2 linked regions of the Styela clava genome follow. The protein of the gene in region 1 interacts with the protein of each later gene in a biochemical or structural test. Links are inferred from orthologs where the notes say so. Each region holds a gene or a part of one and is shown in the gene's direction. Other genes may lie near its edges.

The links.
Region 2: of the proteins of E3 ubiquitin-protein ligase MIB2-like (region 1) and ubiquitin carboxyl-terminal hydrolase CYLD-like, one has a biochemical effect on the other in vitro, tested with the Homo sapiens proteins (2 studies listed by BioGRID, with this or other methods). The link is inferred for Styela clava from reciprocal best matches to the Homo sapiens genes MIB2 and CYLD.

Annotation. Positions count from the first base shown.
Region 1 is NC_135256.1:23,185,544-23,196,360, forward strand, and holds the start of E3 ubiquitin-protein ligase MIB2-like, read left to right. Parts: upstream 1-6,385; 5' UTR 6,386-6,456; coding exon 6,457-6,624; intron 6,625-10,656; exon of another isoform or gene 10,657-10,817. UniProt on the Homo sapiens protein: E3 ubiquitin-protein ligase that mediates ubiquitination of Delta receptors, which act as ligands of Notch proteins.
Region 2 is NC_135262.1:20,140,499-20,152,061, forward strand, and holds the start of ubiquitin carboxyl-terminal hydrolase CYLD-like, read left to right. Parts: upstream 1-7,205; 5' UTR 7,206-7,340; coding exon 7,341-7,484; intron 7,485-10,919; coding exon 10,920-11,079; intron 11,080-11,346; coding exon 11,347-11,471; intron 11,472-11,563. UniProt on the Homo sapiens protein: Deubiquitinase that specifically cleaves 'Lys-63'- and linear 'Met-1'-linked polyubiquitin chains and is involved in NF-kappa-B activation and TNF-alpha-induced necroptosis.

The DNA of each region.
Region 1 (10,817 bases):
TGCTTGTGCGACACTTGTACTTGTTGTATCCAACTTGTACCCTCATATTTCTGCTTTTCTCACACTTTCTTTGCTTTGTCGCTTATCTAACACGTGTCTTGCTCATTTTGTATTACACTTTCCCTGCTTGTCTGACACTTGTACTGCTTCTACGACAATTGTATTGCTGGTCTAACACTTGTACTGCTCGTCTCACACTTTTCCTCCCATTCCCTAAATTGTCCTGTTTGTATTACACTTGTCGTGCTTGTCTAACACTTGAGTTGTTAGTCCCACGCTGGTTTTGCTTGTGCCACACATGTCTCTTAGCCTCACACCTGTCCTGCTCATTCCACACTTGTCCTGATTGTCTTACACTTGTACAGTTTGATCCACACTTGTTCGAGTTGACTCCCACTTCTTCTTTTGTACCCCACTTGTCGAGCTTATCCCATACTAGTAATGCTTGTGAAAACCTGTTTTTTTGTTTACACACATACTGCTTGCCTAGCATTCGTTCTGCTCATCTCACACTTCTCCTTCTTGTATTACACTTTTCATGTTTTAATACATTTTCACCGCTCATCTCACAATGGTCGTGCTTGGAATACACTTGCCCTGCTTACCTCACACTTGTCCTGATTGGATAACAATTGCCCTGCTTGTCTAACACTTGTCCAGCTGTCCCTAACTTGTTCTGATTGTCTAACACTTTTCCTGCTTGTCTCACACTCATACTGTTCGTTACCACCCTGGTCAAATTTTTCCACACTAGTTCCGCTTGTGTTACAATTGTGCTGCTTGTCAGTCATTTGCCTTGCTCATTTCACACTTGTCTTGGTTGAATAACACTTGCCCTGCTTGTATAACACGTTTCCTGTTTGTGCCACATTTGACTTTCTTGTCCCAAATTTGCCTGCTCCTTTGTCACTTGTTCTGTTCATCTCACATTTTTTTGACTTGGGATACACTTGCACTGCTTGTCTAATACTTGTCTTGCTTGTCCCAAATTTATCTTGCTCAATCGATAATGGTCCTGTTCGTAATACTTTTGCCCTGCTCATCTCCCCTTTGTCCTGCGTGTAATACACTTATCATGGTTGTCTAATAATTTTTCTGCTAGTCCAACACTTTTCCTACTTGTCCCACCCTTGACCTGCTTGTCCCAAACTTTTCCTGATTGTTCCACACTTTTCCTGCTTCTTTAGTTCTTTTACACTTGTCCTTCTTGTTTCACGCATATATAATATTTGAATCACTCTTGTTTTACATATATGACACTTATCGTTCTTGTTCTTTACAAGTCCCACGTGTCTCATACTTATCCTGCTTGTGCCACACTTGTTTGCTTTTCCTCACTCTTGTCTTGCTTGTTCGACAATTGTGCTGTTATATGTATGTTATACTTTTGTCATGCTTGCCTAACATTTTTCTTGTTCATGTCAAACTTGTCCTCCGTGTATTAAACTTGTCATGCTTCTAGTTGAAACAAACTTGTCTTGCTTGCCTCAAATTTTCTCTGATTATCCCACATTTGCCATACTCGAATCACTCGTGAACTGCATGTCTGACAATTATCCTGTTTATCCTTTATTATACCTGCCGGTCTCACGCTTGTCCTTCAATGGCCTTACCGGTCTCACACTTTTCAAGCTGGTCCCACACTTGTTTGCTTGTCCCAAATTTGGTCTGCTCGTTTTTCCCTTTTCCTGTTCGTATTATTTTTATCCTGCTTCTCTAACATTTGTTCTGCTCATCTCACATTTGTCCTCCTTGTAGGCTATTCAGCTTGTATAATACTTGCCCTGCTAATTTCACACTTACCCGGCTTGGAATACACTTACCCTGTTTGTCTAATACTTGTCCTGCTTGTCCCAAATTTGTCCTGCTAGTTTGATATTTGCCTTGTTTTTCTCAAACTTGTCCTCTTCGTATTAGGTTTCTCAAGCTTGTGTAGCACTTGCCTTGCTCATCTCACATTTGTCGTGCTTAGAATACACTTATCCTGGTTGTCTAATAACTTTTCTGCTTGTCCAACACTTTTCCTACTTGTCCCACTCTTGACCCTGTTGTCTCACACTTGTCCTGCATTTGTCACACTTTTTCTGCTCGTTTCACACTTGTCCTACTGTCTCACACTTGTAATGTTTGATACACACTGCTCCAACTGGCCTGCCACTTGTCCTTTTGTACCACACTTGTCCAACTTTTCTCACACTAGTCCTTCTTGTGTTACATCTGTTTACATCTGTCTATACGTGTTCCACACTTTTCTGCTTGTTTCACAATTGTTCTGCTTATTTCACACTTATCCTCCTTGTCTCGCAGGTGTACCGTTTTCCGCACTTTTTACTCTCTCAAATTAGACCTAGTTGAAACCAACTTGCTTTTCTTGCCTCACAATTACCCTTATTATCCCACATTTACCATACTCGAATCACTCTTGTACTGCATGTCTGACACTTATCCAGCTTGTCTTTCACTAGCACTGCTTGTCCCACGCTTGTCCTTCACTAGCTTTGCCTGACTCACACTTTCCTGCTTGTCCCAAATTTGTCCTGCTGCCTCGTCATTTTTTCTGTTTGTAATACTTTTGTCCTGCTCATCTCACAATAGTCCTACTTGTATTAAACTTGTCTAACTAACATTCCGCCTGCTTGGTAATACTTGTCCCACACTTTTCCTACTTGTCCTACACTTGCCCTGCTCATCTTACACTTGTCCTACTTGCGCCACACTTGTCTTGCTTGTCTCACACTTGTCCTGCGTGTCCCATACTTCTCGTAATTGCCCCACACTTTCCGTGCTTGTTCAACACGTGGGATGCTCTTTCCACACTTGTATTGTTTGTATTACATTTGTCCTACTTGTCCAACAATTTTTCTGTTTGTCCCACACCTGTTTCGCTATTCCTAAAGTTGTCCTGTCCGTCCGACTCTTGTGTGCTGTTTGTAATACATTTATCCTGCATGTAGAACACATGTCCGAATTGTCTCACACTCTTCCTGCATATCACAAAATTGTCCTCCTTGTATCACAATTTTTCTCTTTGTTCCACACATTTCCTGTTTGTCTCAAACTTATTCTTCTTAAATGACACTTGTCTTGCATGTCCCATAATTGTCCTGGTGGTAACACATTGTTCCTTGTTGTCTCTCGCAAGTTCTGCTTATCCCACAATTGTGCTGCTCGTCTCACACTTGTCCTGCTTGTCGCATATTTGTCCTGTTTGTGCCATTTCCCCCCGCCTCTCCCATACTTGATTCAGTCCTAGTCTTGCCATGCTTGTATCTCGATTTCCTGACTCCCACTCCCACTGCTTACCTCAAACTTGTTTGAACAAACTTGTCGTGCTTTTTGTCACAATTGCCCAGCTTGTATCACACTTTTTTTATACTTTCTTGCTTGTCTCACACATCTCCTGCAATTTTTGCACTTTTCTGCTTGTCCCACACACATGTATCACACTTGTCATTTTTGCATCAATGTTAATCTTTGTGTCCCATACTTTTCCTGCTTGTCTTAAAATAGTCCTAATTGAAACTTGCGCTGCTTGCCATATACTTGTTCTGCGTGTATCACACATGTCGTGCTTTCCTCACAACTTGTCCCATACCTTGTAATGATTTTATCCAACTCATAGTGTTTGTGACACACTTGACTTGATTTTTCTACAGTTGTCCTGCTTGTGTCACACTCGACCTGTTCATCCCACACTTGTTCTGCTTTTCTCACAGTTGTCCAGCTTGTATCACATTCGTCTTGCTTTTCTCACATTTGTCTCTCTTGTCCCATACGTGTCCTGTTTTCCCCTCAACTTTTTTTTTACTCAGATTTGACTTTTGGTCCACACTTGTCTTGCCTTTACCGCGATTGTCCTGAGTGACATAAATTTCTCTTGGTTGTCATGTAAATTTCTCACTCTTTTCCTGCTCATATCACACTTGTCCGGCTTGTTTCCCACTCGTATCACATTGGTCCTATCTTCCCGACATCTGTCCTGTTTGCCTCAAAATTGTCCTGTTTGTGCCACACTTTTCTCTTATATTACAATTAATTGTCCTAATTATCCTGGACTTGTAGTGCTTGTCTCACACTAGTTCTGCTTGCCCCACACTAGTCCTGCTTGGATCAAACTTGTCCTTCTTGTTATCACGCTTGTCCTGTTTGCCACACACTTGCCATTATTTTCTCACACTTTTCCTGCTCTTCTCATAGATGTCATGCTTTTGTCACACTTGTTCCGTATACCGTCTAAAATACCGCCCGACACTCGACAGATACAGCAGATGTATTTTATTGGGATCGCAAAATTAATGTAAGAAAACGCATTGTTTTGCGTTATAACTTCGTATTTTCGGAAACCGGGTGTCTTGGAAAGTAAAATTTGATCTAAATTAATCGCAAATAATGTTTTATCATATAACGTCGGGTACTCATCATATTCCGGGAGAACTCGAAAAGCAATTCAATTTAAAATAAAAAAGGTCTTAGATTAATTCAAATTTCCTATTTGTCTTTTCAGCGATATAGGCTAGGTGAAGCGATATAGGCTAGGTTTTTTTTTTTTTTGTTGGGTGGGCACGTACTTGTACGTTTTTTAACTTTATTTTAAGTTATGCTCGCCTATCAGGTATTTCTGTATTTGTTGTCTGTTTACTTTTTTGTATTGTTCCGTTTTAGTCAGAGAGCCGAAATAAAATGATTGATTGATTGAAAAAACTTTTAGATAAAGATGCAAATGAATGAGAGTAAAAAATATGAATATAATGACAAAAGACGTAATCCCAGAACGACATATAGGTATATGAGATTAAGTATATTGTTTATTTGTATTATCATGACTATTTTTAATATCTGATACTTGTTAAGTGGCCTTGTTTTTAAATGAATACTCTCCGGACTCCGATATAGAAATGCAGACTCCTGTCATTTCCGCACTGACGTTTCTTTCCGCACTGTTGTTTTCTTTTTGGGGAATACCCTCAACTGCGTAAAAAGTCCTTGCTGGCTTATGTTGTCAATGGTGCTTGCACAAAATACATGTGACCTGTCAGTTATTATGATAGTTGCATGTGGAAAGGCAGCTATTTGGGAATTCAGGAATCAAATAATATTTGAAGATTTGGATAATTTCCAATCAGTTATGAGAATAATTTTTAAATGTAAAATTAGAGGGATGCTGAAAAATATGGCATCAAATATGAAAAATAGCTTTTTGGAGGATGGAAGAATTGAAAACTTGTTAGAAAAGTCGGTAATGTCATAGCTTTTGATAGTACATTTTTAAGATTGACTAGTATTGATAATATTGACTGTTTTTATAAATAAAAAAAAAAAAAAAAAAAGGAATGAATATATTTGATACAAATGTCTATACAAGTGTATGTATGTCTATACAAGTGTATGTACTTATTAGATAAATAATAATTGGAAAAACTTTTATTTACATGCTTTATCTTAAAAATAATTGTAATCTTATAAATGATGATTATGAAAAAATGGAATTATGGAAAAAATGAACGGTGATGAATTCTTCCTTGGAACAACCATGAAAAACATGTTTAACATATTAATAATGTACTGTTGGTAATTCTTTTTGATATTATTTTATTTGTTATTTTTCAATATATATTATAAAAAAAAAAAAAAAAAAAAAAAAAAAAAAAAAGTGCTTGAGCAATTTCTGAATTTACACCAGTACGGTACCGTACCGTATAATATCACACGCAGCGACATAGATAGCATTTACATGATTATAGACTACCGGGGAAAGGAAAGTCGATAAGATGCCTTAATCGTTTGGCAAACCACGGTGTCTCGTCCTGCTGTTCGGTTACCGTACCGGTACCGGTATGAGATTAGTTAGCCAGTTACCGGTACGGTACCGTATTTGTTGCAGATGCAGGGAATTTATGGTGGAGGAAGCCGTAATGCATTCCAATATACACATATAAGCTACCGATACTGGTACTGTACACTATTAATCACATTCCTCAAACTGTAAACTGAGTTCTCCAAAAAATCCAAGGATTTCTGTTCCAAATATTTCTTTTTGAAAAGCATAGCATACCGGTACCGGTACTTTTAAACTTCTCGATTCTGAGTTAATACAGTTTTCTGTGACCTGTTTGAAGGTGGCATTTTATAGCCTAGTTTTCTGATTTGAACTTTATCTGTATCCTGTAAGACAGTACAGCAGTACTGCAGTAAGAGATTTGCAGTTAGCACCTCCATACTGCCATAATAAATACATTTGCAAAAATGTTGCTGGTGGTATTCCATCACTAAATTGTTGAGGGTAAAACTAATTCTAATTTTCCCTAAAAAAGGGCGAAGACATACAGGTATTACAGTATTAGCTTATATAAAAAAAAATACTGAAATATGTCTATATATGTTGTTTCAGATCTACTGGATATATAATATATATTTCATATGAAGCTGTTTTAGCGAATATCATAGTCAACTAGTGATATGGGCTGTGATTTTTCTTGTTTTCCAAAATTTCTCAATGAAGAAAAATTTTTTGACTCATCAAATATAAATTCATCAACTAGCTTTCTTCAATGTGCAATATCTGGTAACATGGTCGAAGTCGGATACCGTGTTATTCGTGGGCCGGACTGGAAATGGGGTGATCAGGTAATATATGAAATAATGATTTTGTTATAATATAAATGTACAATAGTTTTGCCTTCTTTTGCTATACATCAGACCGAAGGTCAAGGCGTGAAATTGAAACCTTTCTACTTTCGTTACAATAACATATTTAAAATATTTAAAAAATGTGAAAAACTGAACTTGATAAAAACTAGTTCGAATTTTGTAAAATCATTTTTCTACCTAAATCTTGATAAAGTGCAAACGTTCGGTAGCCGAATTGACTGCGACATTAGTTTCCATAGCTCTCCAACAGATGACAAAATATTGAGTCAGGACATACATGTTGACATTACCGGTAATATGTAATAATTAGTACACTGCAATCAGATGTCTGCTTCCTTAACACCTAATTCACTACTTCATATCTTTATCAGATAATGTTATTCAATTTATTTTTTAAAATCAAGCTCTTTTGGGCTTCCATGTTCAAAAGGCATCACCCAATGGCTTCACTAGATGACATAAATATGACACGCAATAGTTAAGATTTTCATTAGATGTTTTTTCTTTCCTATATATATATATCATGTTTCTTAATATGGGTACAATCGTACCCCTAGGGCCTAGGGTTTGGTGGAGCTTTTCCAAGAGTTTGAGGAACGTCCTCTGAAACAGTTGTACATCATTAAACCTTTCCCAAATCCAGCCTACTAAATATGCAAAAATAACTACCGCAACTAGTTCGTTTCAGATATACAAACTCACATTCTTAAACAACTCATAAAATAGCTTAGCTGTGTGTAGCTTTGTGCAGATATAAGTTTCAGTGGATTTGCCAATAACTGTCACCTTACTCCTTGAAATTCCAGTACACTTCATCGAAAACTCAAATCGTCATAGATGTTGTATGCTTGGATGTATTTCTCTATGATAGCACTTTTCATTGCTTTCTGATCATTGGGCGTGAGAAATCGTAGGGAGCTATGGGTTTTAATAATATTTGCGTAAATGACACCTTATTAATTCATAATCTACATATAAGTGAAAGATTCCTAAAGACAAGTAGAAGATTTGAACCAAGTATACATAAATGAATCTGAAATGAGGGTGTTTGAATTTCACCAAGTGTTGAATTTTTGACAAAGAAGACATCACATTAAAATTTCTGTAAGAAAATTGGAAAATACCACCAGATATGTTCAATTTTTAATAGATTGTTGCTATTAGTTAAAATCATCAGTACACGAAAAGCACCATAACTTTTGTTATAGTAGCACCTTGACAAATAAAAACGATAATTTCATGTGTCTACGCCACACATTATGATATGTTGAAAAATTTTGAAATATAGTTAATAGTCATCGAAGTTGAAACAGTGAATTGTGCTCGCGATCTACCTTCTTATCTTTTGTTAAATTACCGTTGTGCCACATCCCACTTTTTTCCCGATTATGATGAATATAAGAATATAAGCTAACTAATGTATAGCCTATTTAATCAAATTAATATTTTACTAAAATAAATACCGGTAGTATTCTTTGCGATTCTTTTGCGGATCTTGGTATTTTTAACGGCGATAACGACTCCGCAAGATCGCAAAAATACGAATCAAAAATTAATTATAGGCCAGGTTCCCACACGTTTCATGTCATTGCTGTGGTACTTTACCACACATTTTATGTCCGCAGATTGTCGTGGTATTTAAACTTTAGATATTTATCGTAAGTCGACGCAACCGTGAGTTACGTTAAACAGAATTAATACGGCAAGGCATTTTAAATCGTGGTATCAGCCACACGTTGGATTGTTTGCGCAACAGAAAATCATACCCTAAAAAAGTCGATTCTTCTAACTATTATTATCAAAAATATTTGCGGAAAAACGGGAGATAGTTATTTTTCTTTCGAATAAATCAGTTTGTTTTTCAACATGCGACAATTTATGAACACAACTTATTTAATATCTGACCTTGGTTGGATCTATGCCAGACGCGTGAACCGTCACCATGTTCAATATTACTTTCCGTTTATTTGATCAATAGTTTTCAAGAAATATACTAAATTGTGTCTAACACGATCCATATAAAAGGACACAATCAAATTTTGATTTCAATTCCGTTCTCGAAGTGCAGGACCGGAGTGTTTGGCTGAAGTAAACCCTTTATGGTACGGATTTCTAAATGTGAGTGCGTTTGATTAATAATTGCGGCTTTACGGTAATTCTCAATTTTTCGACGTAGCTGGTAATGAATACGTAAATAACGGTAAGTGGAAGCCTTGCAAAACGCGCTCGCACAGATAACAAACAAAGTGCCGATTCTATTTCATCGTTATAACAACACCTGACAAATCGCAGAAAAACGTTTGAAGATTTCCCTCGAAAAGTTATCTAAAAGTTATCTAAACAGAAAATTATGAACTCAATGTAAAGCTAACACTATGAAAATTAGTCAGTGTATGCCCACAGAGCCATACCAGTTTATAATAAAAAATAACCTTTTCAGACAATTTCATGATTATAAACACATTTGACTCCATTTGGGAACTAAATTACCAAGCTAAACTTTTCTGTCGCTCTGTATTCCAGTAATGACTAGCTCTACTTGGTATACAGTTATGTAGTTACTTAAATTAACCCTGTATTCAGGACTAAGTTAGATATTGCATTATGTAAATGTTATTTGAAGAGGCTAGCTCGTCCGAATATGGAATTTTAGATATATATGACAGAAATTTAAAGCAAAAACCGAAAAAGACCACTTGGAATTGACAACGAAATAACGGATGTGCTCGGCAACGGGAAGACGTTTTACTGTTTGTCTAGACGAAATTTCATCGCAGTGTGACGTAGCGAAATATAGCAATGACGTGTGTTGTTCATCGTGTCAGATGAACAAGTCCGCGGTCCGCAAGTTGCACGCCTCTGGCACGGACAAATTGTTCTATATATGAGGCCTCCCGGAAAAAGTTGCGTTCTAAAACAAACTTGTAGTTTTTAATTCGGCACACGTAACTGCCAATCTAACACTTGATCAATTTTTGTCTGCTAGGCTCTATTATCGGAAATTTTTTACAGAATATGTTTATGGTAAGCATTAGGATATTGTTTATTGAACTGCAGGTTCTTTCTCCTTGTCTACTTCCTACTTCTGATCCGTATGCGAATGATTATTCGCTGTTCAATAAACTTATAAATTATAATCTTGTTTTGTGTGAAGAAGTTAGTCTATGATCTAACGAAAGCTTACAAATGTGCTTGCTATTTCGTGTAACGAGATTATGTTATTCTTATAGAATATGTTCACTTTCGGTATTTGTGTGCAGGCTGGTCCGACAAGGCGTCTTTCCTACCATGCATTGAAGCCTTAATAAATCGAGTCGTAGTTTCTCGACTCTTATTGCACCTACTAAATAAATGATAAGGACACGCACGCACGCATAATGCCTTTTCCTGTTCTTCGATTAGCAATTTCAGTTTGTTGTCTCCCCTTTTACATTTGCGAGCTTCGACAGAAGAAAGAGTTAGAGGGTAGCATGAACAAATAACATTAGCTGATCTATATTCGCCTCAAACTTTGATTTAGGCATTCATGTCGGAGCGGGGACGCATTTCATCTATCGAGAGTTTTTTACGAAATTATGTTGCTTATTGGATCGCTCTTATTTTACTTAATAATATCAGTGAAGCTACACCTTTCCCAAGCGTGGTCTGTGATGGATTGTGGAGGTTGTTTTTGGTTCGAGATTTACGTTCGCGTACTAAATTGCATGAAGGCAGTTAATGAAATTTCGAGAAACCCTGTCGTAATCGACCGAGGAAACAACTTTTGTTAGGAATATGAATTATTTTGGTATACTGCTACTTTAAGGTATAATTATATTTAATAAATGATATTAACTTTCCAAACCCCTTTATCGGGTTGCGCGTGGTGTTTGTGTATAATTTGGAAAGTTGTTGGGTCCTATCTGACGTGAAATACATGAAAAATCTGTAAAAGTGGATATAAATCACCAGATTTGAGCTTTTTATTGATTTTGATAATTTTTTACTTGAAACATTGTAATTCGAAAATATAACTGTCTTTGTTTAGAAAGTTCGACAGTAGCTTCAATAAAAACCATACTTTGGTCAAGGCATTGAGACGTTGCACTGATAATAAATAATTGAAAATATGGCGAGACCACATTTTGGGTCGATAATTTGGAAATAAAAAATCGCGCGATTGAACGAAG
Region 2 (11,563 bases), on another chromosome or scaffold:
AATCAAAGCTAGCACAAAAGATAAAAATCAGAATAAAATTAATTTGAATTCACTCTTGTCTTAACATCTGTCGCCGGCATGTAGTACTGCCAGGAATATGAAAACCCAAACTCGATGTCCCCATCGAAAATGAAGTGGATTCAATTGGTTGTTATGATAGGTTTAAATGTGTGAAAAAATATCGCAATTACGGTGTCATTACGTAATCAATTTGGCCGTATTTACGGAATTGATTTTTGTCAATTACGTGCAAGCCTAGTCAGTACCATACTGCCTTAATTAATGTCAAATATAGTTACTTATACTCAGCCTGTTAAATAATTTGGTATCCAATTTGGCGATCCACGCAAAATTATTAATATGGTGTGAATCCCTTAGGTCTTTTATTTTTGTTTGTGTATTTATCTTTTTACTGAGAAATATATCTTGTTTTTTTCCCTTTCCAATTTTATTTTGTCTGTGTGATTGTATGTTTGTGTGTGTTTTAATTAAGTTAATATTTTTGGGTGAATTTTGGGTGAGCCAACAGCCCAACAAGTACAACTTGTACATTTTAAACACCTTACTTAAAGTTTTCTTCACTTTCCCTATTCAGTAATTCTGTAAACAGTTTTATTTATTTTGTTTCTATCAATTATTTTATCGCTTTTTATGCTGAGTCAATATATACTTATACTTCTGTCAGACTTGTAAGGATTAGGGATGGGACGAGTCCGGCATTACAGAGATTCGACGAATCCGAGTAATAGGTCAAGGACTCGAATCAGTCTTCCCAGTCCGTGACGTCACAATGGAAAAGCATAAAAACACGTTTTTGACCATGCTACAGCAACGTGCGCTCACAAACATTCGTCGTAGCCATAGGCGTAGCCAGGGGGGGGGGGGGGGGGGGCAGAGGGGCCATGGCCCCCCCCAAAATTTTCAAGAATTCCATTCCTAATCCACCAGTTTTGTGGCATCTTGTCTCGTCACGCTTGTTGATTGTCATTGTTACGTCACAAAGACTTGACCGGTCGCTCTTATGAGCAGTACGGGAAAGACTGTTTCGCAAGCTTTCGGTCAGTTGCTCGGTCTTGATTTGTTCTCGCCGGATTTTTATTCGAAACGCTTGAATTTTGATGACCAAATTACTTCGATCGCTAAATTTAAACAGGCGAAATTAGATAGTTTTTTCCAGCGAAATGAAGACTCGCTTTCCTCATATACATCAATAAGCGCTTCTCAGGCTGTGGATGCACCGGTTACGTCAGTTACGTCTATCACTTCTATTCCCGAAGATGAACTAATAATCAACGAAGGCAAAACAAACGATCTTGGATTTGTTCTTAAGAAACATACACAGCTTACCGATGCGGAGAGATACAGGCTTCTAACTTCGGATGGTCCGAAAAACGTGACGATTCTGGATACTGTTAGACAAAGTCGTCGTAAATTTCTCAAAAAATGGCTTGACGATAACAGATTTTGCAGTTGGTTAGTTTACACCCAACACTCTGATGGGGGTGGTTTGTGTAAGATATGCATAGTCATGCAAGCACGTTTGAAGCATGGAACTCTCAGGGACACTGCCTTTGTTACAAGACCATGCATCGACTACAAAAAATTTATGGAAAAGGCTGTAGCACATCGAGACACAAATTACCACCGAGAATCAAATATAGCTGCGAAAAATTTTGTCAAAAGCATGGAAACTGGTCAAAATGTGCGTGCAAACATGGAGGCCCAATATGCTACGCAAACAAAAGAAAACAGACGAATAATGACTTCCATTGTCAAGACTGTCATGTTCTGTGCTTCGGGTAACATATCCTTGCGCGGACATTCCGGGGATAGTGGAAATTTTGTGAACCTTCTTCTATTTCGTATCGACGCAGGGGATGAAGATTTGAAAAGGCATTTCGCTCGAATGGCCGGAAACGCTAAGTATACAAGCCCGATGATACAAAATGAAATTCTCAAGGTAGCAAGCAACATGATAGTGCAAGATATCGTTATGGAGGCTAATAAATCGTTTGTGTCCGTAATAGCCGACGAATCATGTGATATTTCTGGGAAAGAACAACTAAGCATCGTTTTGAGGTATGTGAAAGGTGGTGAAGTGTGCGAGCGCTTCACAGGATTAGTGGAAATGGATTCTGTTTCTGCCGAATCAATTTCCTCAAATATTTTGACCCACCTCTCTGGTATAGGAGTGGATTTGCAAAAACTTGTGGGGCAAGGCTATGATGGTGCAACGACAATGGCAGGTCACGTCAGCGGTGTGCAAAAACGCATTCGTGATAAATACCCGCGCGCAATATTTGTGCACTGCGCTTCTCATTGTTTGAGTTTGGTCATAAATGACCAAAGTAAAGTTGCAATCATCAGAAGCACCTGTGATATCATTCGTGAGACTATTCGTTTTTTCAGGGAGAGCCCTAAAAGGCGCGCGGGTTTAGGAATTAACATCCCTTTGTTCTGCCCCACCAGATGGTCTGAGAAGTACAAGAGCATCCGAATCTTCAAATGCAACTTCAAACGAGTACTTGAGGCTCTTGATTCTTTGGCGAGAGATGCTAACGGTGAGACGCGGGCGAAGGCTTTTTCTCTGAAATCTGCTCTAGAAAAGTCGTCGGTTATCTACGCCGTATGTTTGATTGGTCGATATTCGGCACTAATGGAGCCACTAGCGCGCGCACTTCAGGCGATCGGAGTCAGTGTGCCGTCAGTAAAGAACCTCACATCCTCTCTTCAGAGCGTTATCGCTGAAGAACGCAATGACTCTGAAATCGCATTGAATATTTACAAAGAAGCTTGTGAAATAGCTGGCTTGAAAGAGTTGACAATACCCAGAGTAGTCGAAGTACAAGTGTATCGCGACAATGTCTGTGCTGATTCAGCATCCCAGTACTTTAAACGTTCCGTATATCTCCCATACGTCGACGGCTTGAGCTGCTCTATTCGGGAACGCTTCATTGACAACCCGTCATTTTTTTCATTGCTATCAATTCTTCCACCGAACAAACCAGTTCACGTGGATGAGGTAGAGCATCTGTATTTATTGGATAACCTCCAGAATGAAGTGAGACTGTGGAGAACTTCTTTAAGTTCCGACGTTAACGACGAATGTTTGGAGGGGCTTCTTTTGAGCGCTCGAGATTATCCAAGCGTGTACACCGCAATACAGATCGTTATGACGCTACCAGCAACCACCGTTGAGGCTGAGCGGTCTTTCTCCTGCATGAAACGGGTAAAGACATGGCTGCGCTCATCAATGACGTCCAATCGCCTTTCTGATTTGTGTGTGCTTCACTGTCACCGTGAAATGGTCACCGAGGAGAAAATTAATCGAGTTGTGTCGAGCATAGTTAGCGGGAAGCGAAGGATGGACTTTTAATCGGGGCGATGTATTTTACTTATTTAAATTGCGTTGTTAATATTTGTTGTTTCAAATAAAAAATCGTTTATTAATGGATTTTGTATTCACAAAAATCCAGCTGAGTAATTGAATCAGTTTGCTTGTTGACCAACTGTTGTTGTTTTGCGCTTGAAGAACGGGTGTTTTAAACCCAATATAATTTCTAAAATTTTCAAATTTGGCCCCCCCCAAAATTTTGGGCTGGCTACGCCACTGGTCGTAGCTCGTATTTTTTACCTAATAGTTCCGCAGATAGCTGTTGAATCATTTTAGAAATATATTTTCCTCCTTTTTAGCGGCCACAATACAAACGTGAACGTGGGTCAATATGCGCCTTGGTTGTGAACTAGATTTCTAGCCCATCACCTTCCGTTAATTCTGGGCTGCTATTTAGCAATTCTTACATGTCAATATGAAAAATAAAATTTTTTTGACTGCAATGCTTCCCCATAATTTCAGATACTTCTAGCTGTAAACTTAGGCAGGGATGGCGAAGCTATTTCGACGAATGGGTCAAAAATTATATTTTTATCACGGAACAGAAGAGTGTGGGTGACAATAAGTTAATCAATGTTATTATCTATAAGGAACTTGCTGCTGCATCCTATCTTTCAAATCTTATAAGCTTCGGTTGGTGTTGTGTAGCTTCGGGCTTTATTTATGCAGCACTTCAACCAGAGACTACTGGACTGTTAATGACACTCGATTTTATGAAATTCGTGTACAAAAACACGCATATTATGAATTACCCAAAAACGTTTAGAATGATGCGGCAAATTATTTTGCGCGCCAAAGAGTTTGGAGGGAATTCCACTCTGATAGAGTTCTATTTTTCGATTGGCTTTCAACCAGATTAAGGTACTTTCACACTGCCCCATTGTTGTTTCAGATTTCTAGGTCCTCATTTTGAGTCTAACAGATTTTGTTTCCTCCACGACATTGTAGGCGAGAAACTGATGAATGCAAAGTAGCATCTAGTTTTCGTATACCCTAAACTAAACAGTCTGCAGTGCCTTTTCAGTTCATCTGAATGAACGCTGTAACACAGTGGTTCTCAACTTTTTATTGACCGCGTACCACTTTTGTGTTTTTACCATGGCCGCATATCACCGACAAAACCGCTTTTGTGGCGGGGAACAATGGCACAAGAAACGCTCTATGGTAGTATTTTATGTGGCACTACATCCATTTTTAGAGCTTCGTGCACAGTTTCAACGTATTAATTATATGCAGTAACAACGTAATAATTGTGTGCAAAATCACAAGAGAATTTGCGTCGTTTATCGTCGGCTCTAATCATCGTCACCACTGAATTATCGCAAAACTCGGACAAATACACTTCGGTCGGCTCTAGCCGCTATGCGGAACTGCCTAACCTAGTCTTCAAATTATTTGGACTCAAAAGTCAAGATTATGCCGATCAGCCAACACATACATCAGTCAGTAATAGTAACATATTTATGATGTATCTAGGCGCTATCAGGGTATTCCGACACGCGTCGAGCACCCCTCCGAAGTCCGAATGCTCCCTTCGTTGCCAATTTCTCAATGGTGATGCATTGTGGACGTAACACGTAAAACGGTCGAAAATATGCCCGTCTCGTTTCTTTTTAGGTGGGCAGTAGCGGGCGAGAGCGCTCATTAAAGAGAAGGACTGGTAACGCTATAAACTATTCAGCGAATACATTCAGTAATGGAAGATAAATAGAAAGTGTGTCTGCCATATTTTAGCCACCTCAAAAGTCGGTTATTGCAATAATTCAAAGCGTACCACTTGAAAAGCCCCCGCGTACCACAGGTTGAGAACCACTGCTGTAACGAGACGTTGCGAGAAATGAACAGATCGAATTGATTGTTTTGTCATAAACGATATCACAGCCAATAGCTGCTTAAAGGTACCGTATACAAGGGTGAACATGTGCATCCAAGATTGGGAGTTCTGAAAATTACCACACCGATCCGGAAATTTGAATTTGAGCGTTCGCATGTCGGACTGCCCAACTGACGTTACATTATGTAGTTTACTTACTGTTAAATTTGTTTGAAGCCGGTTTTATCAATTTTTATCACTTACAAGTTAGTATGTTTTTATTTCATTCGTGCCTTGGCAGGTCACCGACAAAACGCGGTGGGTCTATTTGTGACCCGCGGGTCAGTGGTTCGCCATCCCTGTTATAAGGTATAAGCGATCAATAGTTTTCAACATGCGTTATATTATCTGGATATCTGTCGTCGTTTTTATTAAGAGTGTTTACCGGTATATTACATACGAGGAATATTGTTACAGATCTAACAACGAATTTTAATTAACCAGTTAGGGTATGTACTGAGATTTATAGAGGTAAAAGTACAAACATAGGCGCGAATTAGTAAAAACAGAATTGATTATAGACTCGGTAAAAATGACGTGGACTCAATCTAATCCGAGTCCAAAAAATGTGTGAATTCGACTCGAATCCGAGTCCGGATCTGAATCTCGGCCCATCCCTAGTAATGATGTGACTTTGAGGTCTGGAGGTCATCGAATTATTTACAACCGGTTGAAAAACTACTAAAATCAATACCCAATTCTGTAGTTAATGAAATTGTGGTAGAAAAAATAGACTAAATAGTACGGTAGGCTAAAATAGACTAAATAAAAACATAGGGGGTCAGGTTGGATGAATAGGAGGTTATCAATTTCATATGGAAAAAGAGTTTGTTTGACTTAACACTGTAACACATTGTACATATTATGATCATTATGAAATGAATGAATGAGCGAAATATTTTAAGAAATAACTCGTTGGTGGTGATGCGGCTATTAGCCCTAGTCTGATATTAACAATGTTTATGTATTACAGAAGGTTATTCAGTTGTCTATTCTATGAAATATTAATAGAAAATATGCAAGATACTTGTTGCAGAAGCGAAGACGACGTCATAGAGACATTAAAATTATCGAAGCTCAATCAGAGTGATTTGGCAAGACCTTCACAAACACTTTATTTTGCAAATGACTCTTCGGATCAATCATTTACTTTGATACAATTAAATAAGGATATTCTTGAACATATTACAAAGGGTGAAACACTTGTCATTCGTGGAGGTGAGGATGATTCTGCCACATTGTGTACTAGTGATTGTACTTATGATTTAAAAAAGGCAAGAACCTCGAATACTTTGCTCACATTATCTAAGTGCACTGTATCCGCGAAAAAGAAATCATCTGTTGCTTCTGACAGCAGTACAAGTGAAGAAGAACAGGAGAATATTGATGACAAGCCATTTCTACTTTATCGAAATATAATAGGCTGGTCACATGATTACTTAGAACTGAAACGCATTCATCCACAGCTGTTCAAGATCAAGCAACTTCTGGGTGAAACTCTATTCCAAGGTCCAGAAAAGGAAGAAGAGAATGTTGATAAAATGAAGTATACTTTAACTGATCTACTGAACATTGTTCAAGCAAGTGAAGGGGAGCTTACAAGTGCCTTGTTCAATATGGGATGTATTTGTATTGATGGATATTGGAGGTTATTGGATTTTGGATATATTGTTGACTGTCTTGGTGCAATTTGCAATGTCATCGATTCAGAATCGTGGGATATTTTCAAAGTTCCTTTTTCACAGCTTTGCGAAAAAATCAATGACTCTGGTGAACTAGTACCGGGGTACATAGTTCATCATTTAATGGCATTCTACGGAACAATGATTTTTATGCATGATAATAGTGAAAAGTATTTTAAATTAAAGGAAGAGAAAGTTTGTCGATTTTTTGCAGAAATGCTTTTACGAGATGTCGGAAAATTCAACCTAACTGAATTCTTGGAGGTTTGGGACCAGAGTCTTCCATATGGATTAAAATCAGATGAGAAATATCTTCAAGGACTTGCTATAATAGACAATACAGCAAATCCAACAACTATTCAATATTTTTCTGTTGAAACTTTGCCTCAAGATGCTGCTGCCCGATTTGACATCTTGTTTCAGACAAGACCAAAATGGACTCGAGATGAAATTGAACCTTACATTTTTGACTTATGTATTGAAGGGCAAACTGCCTCAGCCCTCCTTACTAGATTTGCTAGAAGTTCAATACAGGGTAAGTCTAAAGTTTTTTCTTCAAGAAAAACTTTAGTTACTGCTAGTTGAAAGGATATTCAACTTGGATTAATTTTTTCCAGGCACTTGCTAATTACTTACCGATCCCTGGGATCAGAAGCCTATTGATTTTGGATGAAATATGTCGTATAATTAGCGAGTTATTAATTAATTAGTGATGGGACACGCGGTGTCACTATAGAGTCATGAATCGAAACCGCAGTTTCGATCGATAAGTGTTCGGTCTCCGACCGATATTCACGTAATTACATTTATGATTTAATTGTGTGACAGGACATTGGTTAGCATTTGGGTTTGGGAAGGGGGTCTCTAAGATTTGCTTTGGTGATAATATGAAATGGTGCTGCGATTACGCTACTCTTTAAAATAACTGATTTTCCAGCGTGTTGTGATTTTTCTGCTGCTAACATATTCAATCCATGACTGATGCGACCATTTAAAATGTCTCGCTATATTAATTTAATGTGTTCATCATAACTTGCATTTGCGCCGAAATAAGAGCACTACTACTCTGTAATACTACTGCAATCTGCAGATATAAAATACTGGATAGATTGGATTCGGATTTTTACGATCTTGGGATTTGTTAACTTTAATTAAGGTATTCTTTCAGCACTGACTAGAACTCAATGAGATTATTTTTAGCATATCATCATTAGAAAAATCCCAATGTCTGCGTTAAGATGTCAAAGAGTACAAATCTCAATTGCGCAAAATATTCATAGGCAAATTGAAAATGTATTGATTTAATAATTGAATTGTGTTCCATGTAACCGGTTGTTCCCTGACTAAAAATATAAAGCATTTCTAGTCCAAATTATCGTGTCATAAAAATGTGTGGCAGTGTGTCTGATTATATTTTGTTTGGATTCTTATCAACGGTAAAACAGATTTGATAAATCAAAGCCGTTCTTGAAATACTATCTCCTCTCTATCGCAGTGACTCCTCTCGTATTCTTTGTTGAGAAATTACCATCAGAAAACCTCTATATCTGCGACAATATCCCAGAGTGAAATTTATTTTAGTACAGTAAAATTTGATTGATATACTTATCTACCGTAAATTCGTAATATATCATCACATATCGGGGAAAAGTTGTGTGAGGCCCCGTCTGTAGTTTTAGAATGAATGAGAAGGTACATGGTTCGAGCGATTGAATGTGTTTCGATTTCAGTGACTGCCTGACTGGTATAACATACTCAAAGTCAACATGACCTAATGTGATAATTAGATAATAGACAAATTTTTCGATTAACAATGTTTAAAAAGCGTTTTTTTTTAAGTTGTTGTGAGCCTCCTAAATAAAAATTTTCCTCCGTTTTATTATCTTTAGTATTTTACAATGCCACTTTTTAATCTAAAAAAATCTGGTTTGTGGATTTACTTTATTATCTTAATAAGCATCCTGTCACTGATGAATATTATACAATAATTCGTTTTTCACAATTATTTCACAATTCTCCATTCGAGAATAGAAAAGTAATCACCATCGGTTGACGGAAATTGGGATTTAGGTATAATAATAATATATACAGAAATGAAGGTGTTCAAGGCCCAAATAGCATGTCGCTATTTGTGATATCAACAAAATGCAACTGCACATGTTATTAGCAACATTTTCTTTCAAAAATTTCAAAAAAGGGGGTTTCGAACACGAAAACCCCTCTGGCTGCGCCACTGGGTTTTCAGGCATAGGTATTTTTTTGGTAATAAATTCATCTATACTTAAATAAAATTTTGTTATATTCTGCACACCTTTATTGATTTTGTCCAGGTATAAATTTATTTGTTTTAATTTTTTCTTGTGCTTTTGCTCTGAAAATCGAAATAACCTTTGATAAATATTCAATTCCTGTCTTCCAAGTCTGGTTCCTGATAACTCGAACAAGAACTAGACAACTACTGTGGTTCACACTTTGAAAAATATTTTTATGTATAATTATTGAAAACAAAAAGTATATGGATGTTGATGTTGTTCATCACCATATTATATAATTATTATATAGCCTAATTATCATGGGGTGGTGATTCAACAAAATTTATAAAATTATTGTGAAATCATTGACATTTCACAGGATTATAAGTTTTTGACCATACATTTAATCCTAACGTAATGTGGCAAACAAAGCTTGCATACAGATTCTAGAATATGGGGTAATTCTGTATTAATCATACAGCCGCTTTACTCAACATTCCATAAGATTCTTAAGGTGGCTGTATATGGCAGAGTTCATGTTAACAACCCCAGCACCCAAAAGAGTCTGGCGATGCTTACCCCACTGAATCCCTTTTTTGATGTTGAACCCATATATCGACACAACAAGCCAATGAACATACTTCTCATTCTACAGAAATTCTTCAAATCTTATTCTAAATATCTACTTATGGTTACCTAAATGAGAAAGCAGTTGATTTGATATTCTGAATGATTTTCAAAGGGACTTTTCCAGTGATATATTTTACCTCTTGTATACATTTGGGGTTTTCTGTAGTCAGTTTGAAGTATTAAATTGTTTGAAACATATTTGATAAGTTTGTTCCTCCCTTGAGAGTTTTCTTGTAAAGGCCCAGGCATGAATATAATATACCATTGGCGTGCATTGACCTATTCATCTAGGCCTTTTTTCTTTTTTTTTCTCTCTCCTTTTCTCTCTCAAATCGTGACATATAATAAAGCCCAAGAAAAATTCCCTTCCAGTGTTATGGGGATTTTTCTAGGTTGTTGAGCTTACATAGAGGTCCAATTATAGACTTGTATATGTCTGTCAGTATAATGATATCTTGAGGATGTGGCCTTCATGAAAATATGGTGAATCACTTGACAGGGTGAATTGTATGTTACATTAGATGATGTAATATCGATCATATATATTTTATAGCATTAATTGAGATTTATTTATTTAAATGCTAGTTCTGTAGGCTGTGTAATCGGGTTTAATATACTATGTGGCTGACTAATATTTTAAAATATTTGAATTTGTATCTTAAAATTAATTCATTTGGTAAACTGTAGATGTTTAGTTTAAACCCGTTTGATTTTTGAATATTTGTGAAATAAATCTTTTACAGTACATAGCAATAGCAATACACAGTTTTAGCAATTTTTGGTGTGTTCGCAGGTTTTCAATAAGTGGTAGATAAATTTAAAAAATAATGAATTGAAGCAGGACAAGGAGTATCGTTTCTAATCTTTGAATGAATCTATCTGTTCTAACAAACACTTACTTTGCTGAAACAGCATTCTATAATACAATGCTAGATCAATATTAAATGTCCTATATTGTACAGTGGCTAATGAATTTCATTATATATCATGTTATATACTCAGTTGGAAAAGTTCACAAGCTCAGTTTTTCTGATCTTTGGATGTATTCAGTCTAATATTTTTGTATGTTTTTGTCGTATATTTTTTAGATAAATATGGCAGAACTTGGATATTATGTCGTTCCCAGTAGAGGAACTGGTGATGCTGGTAAACCCCTTATTTTATTGAGTGATAGGTACATCACTCACGCTGACCAATCAAGAGTTACTACAAGGTTGAAAAAAACAAATACAGTGCAATATTTTAAAGGTAAAACCAATTTGATTAGCCTATTTTGATTGTGCGTTTTAGCTCTTTCGTTGGTTTATATGCTGGTAAACTATCGGTCATTTTGACTCTGACTCTATATTATATACTAGCTATATATGACTGACCGCTTATCAAGAGCCTTGTTTGAATATAAATTAGTTGTGTCACATTTTATCTGTCTTGTAATGGATATAGAATTTATGTCCCTAGTTTGTAGCATTCTTCCCATTGTTTTAAAGAATATTTAATAATTTTCTATTATCTCAGGAACTTTATTAAGGGAGGTTGAAACAACTAAAGATGTTTTGGAAAAAAATAAAATACTTTGTAGAAATCCTGAATCTGAAGTTTATTTCCAATGTAGCAAAAAAGATGTGAAAGAAATTTCGGAGGTATGAAAACCTAATGCAAAATACATCATGAGCGAAATACTGACTTAAACAAGTGGGATTTTCACAATGTATTATTTCTTGCATTCAATTTA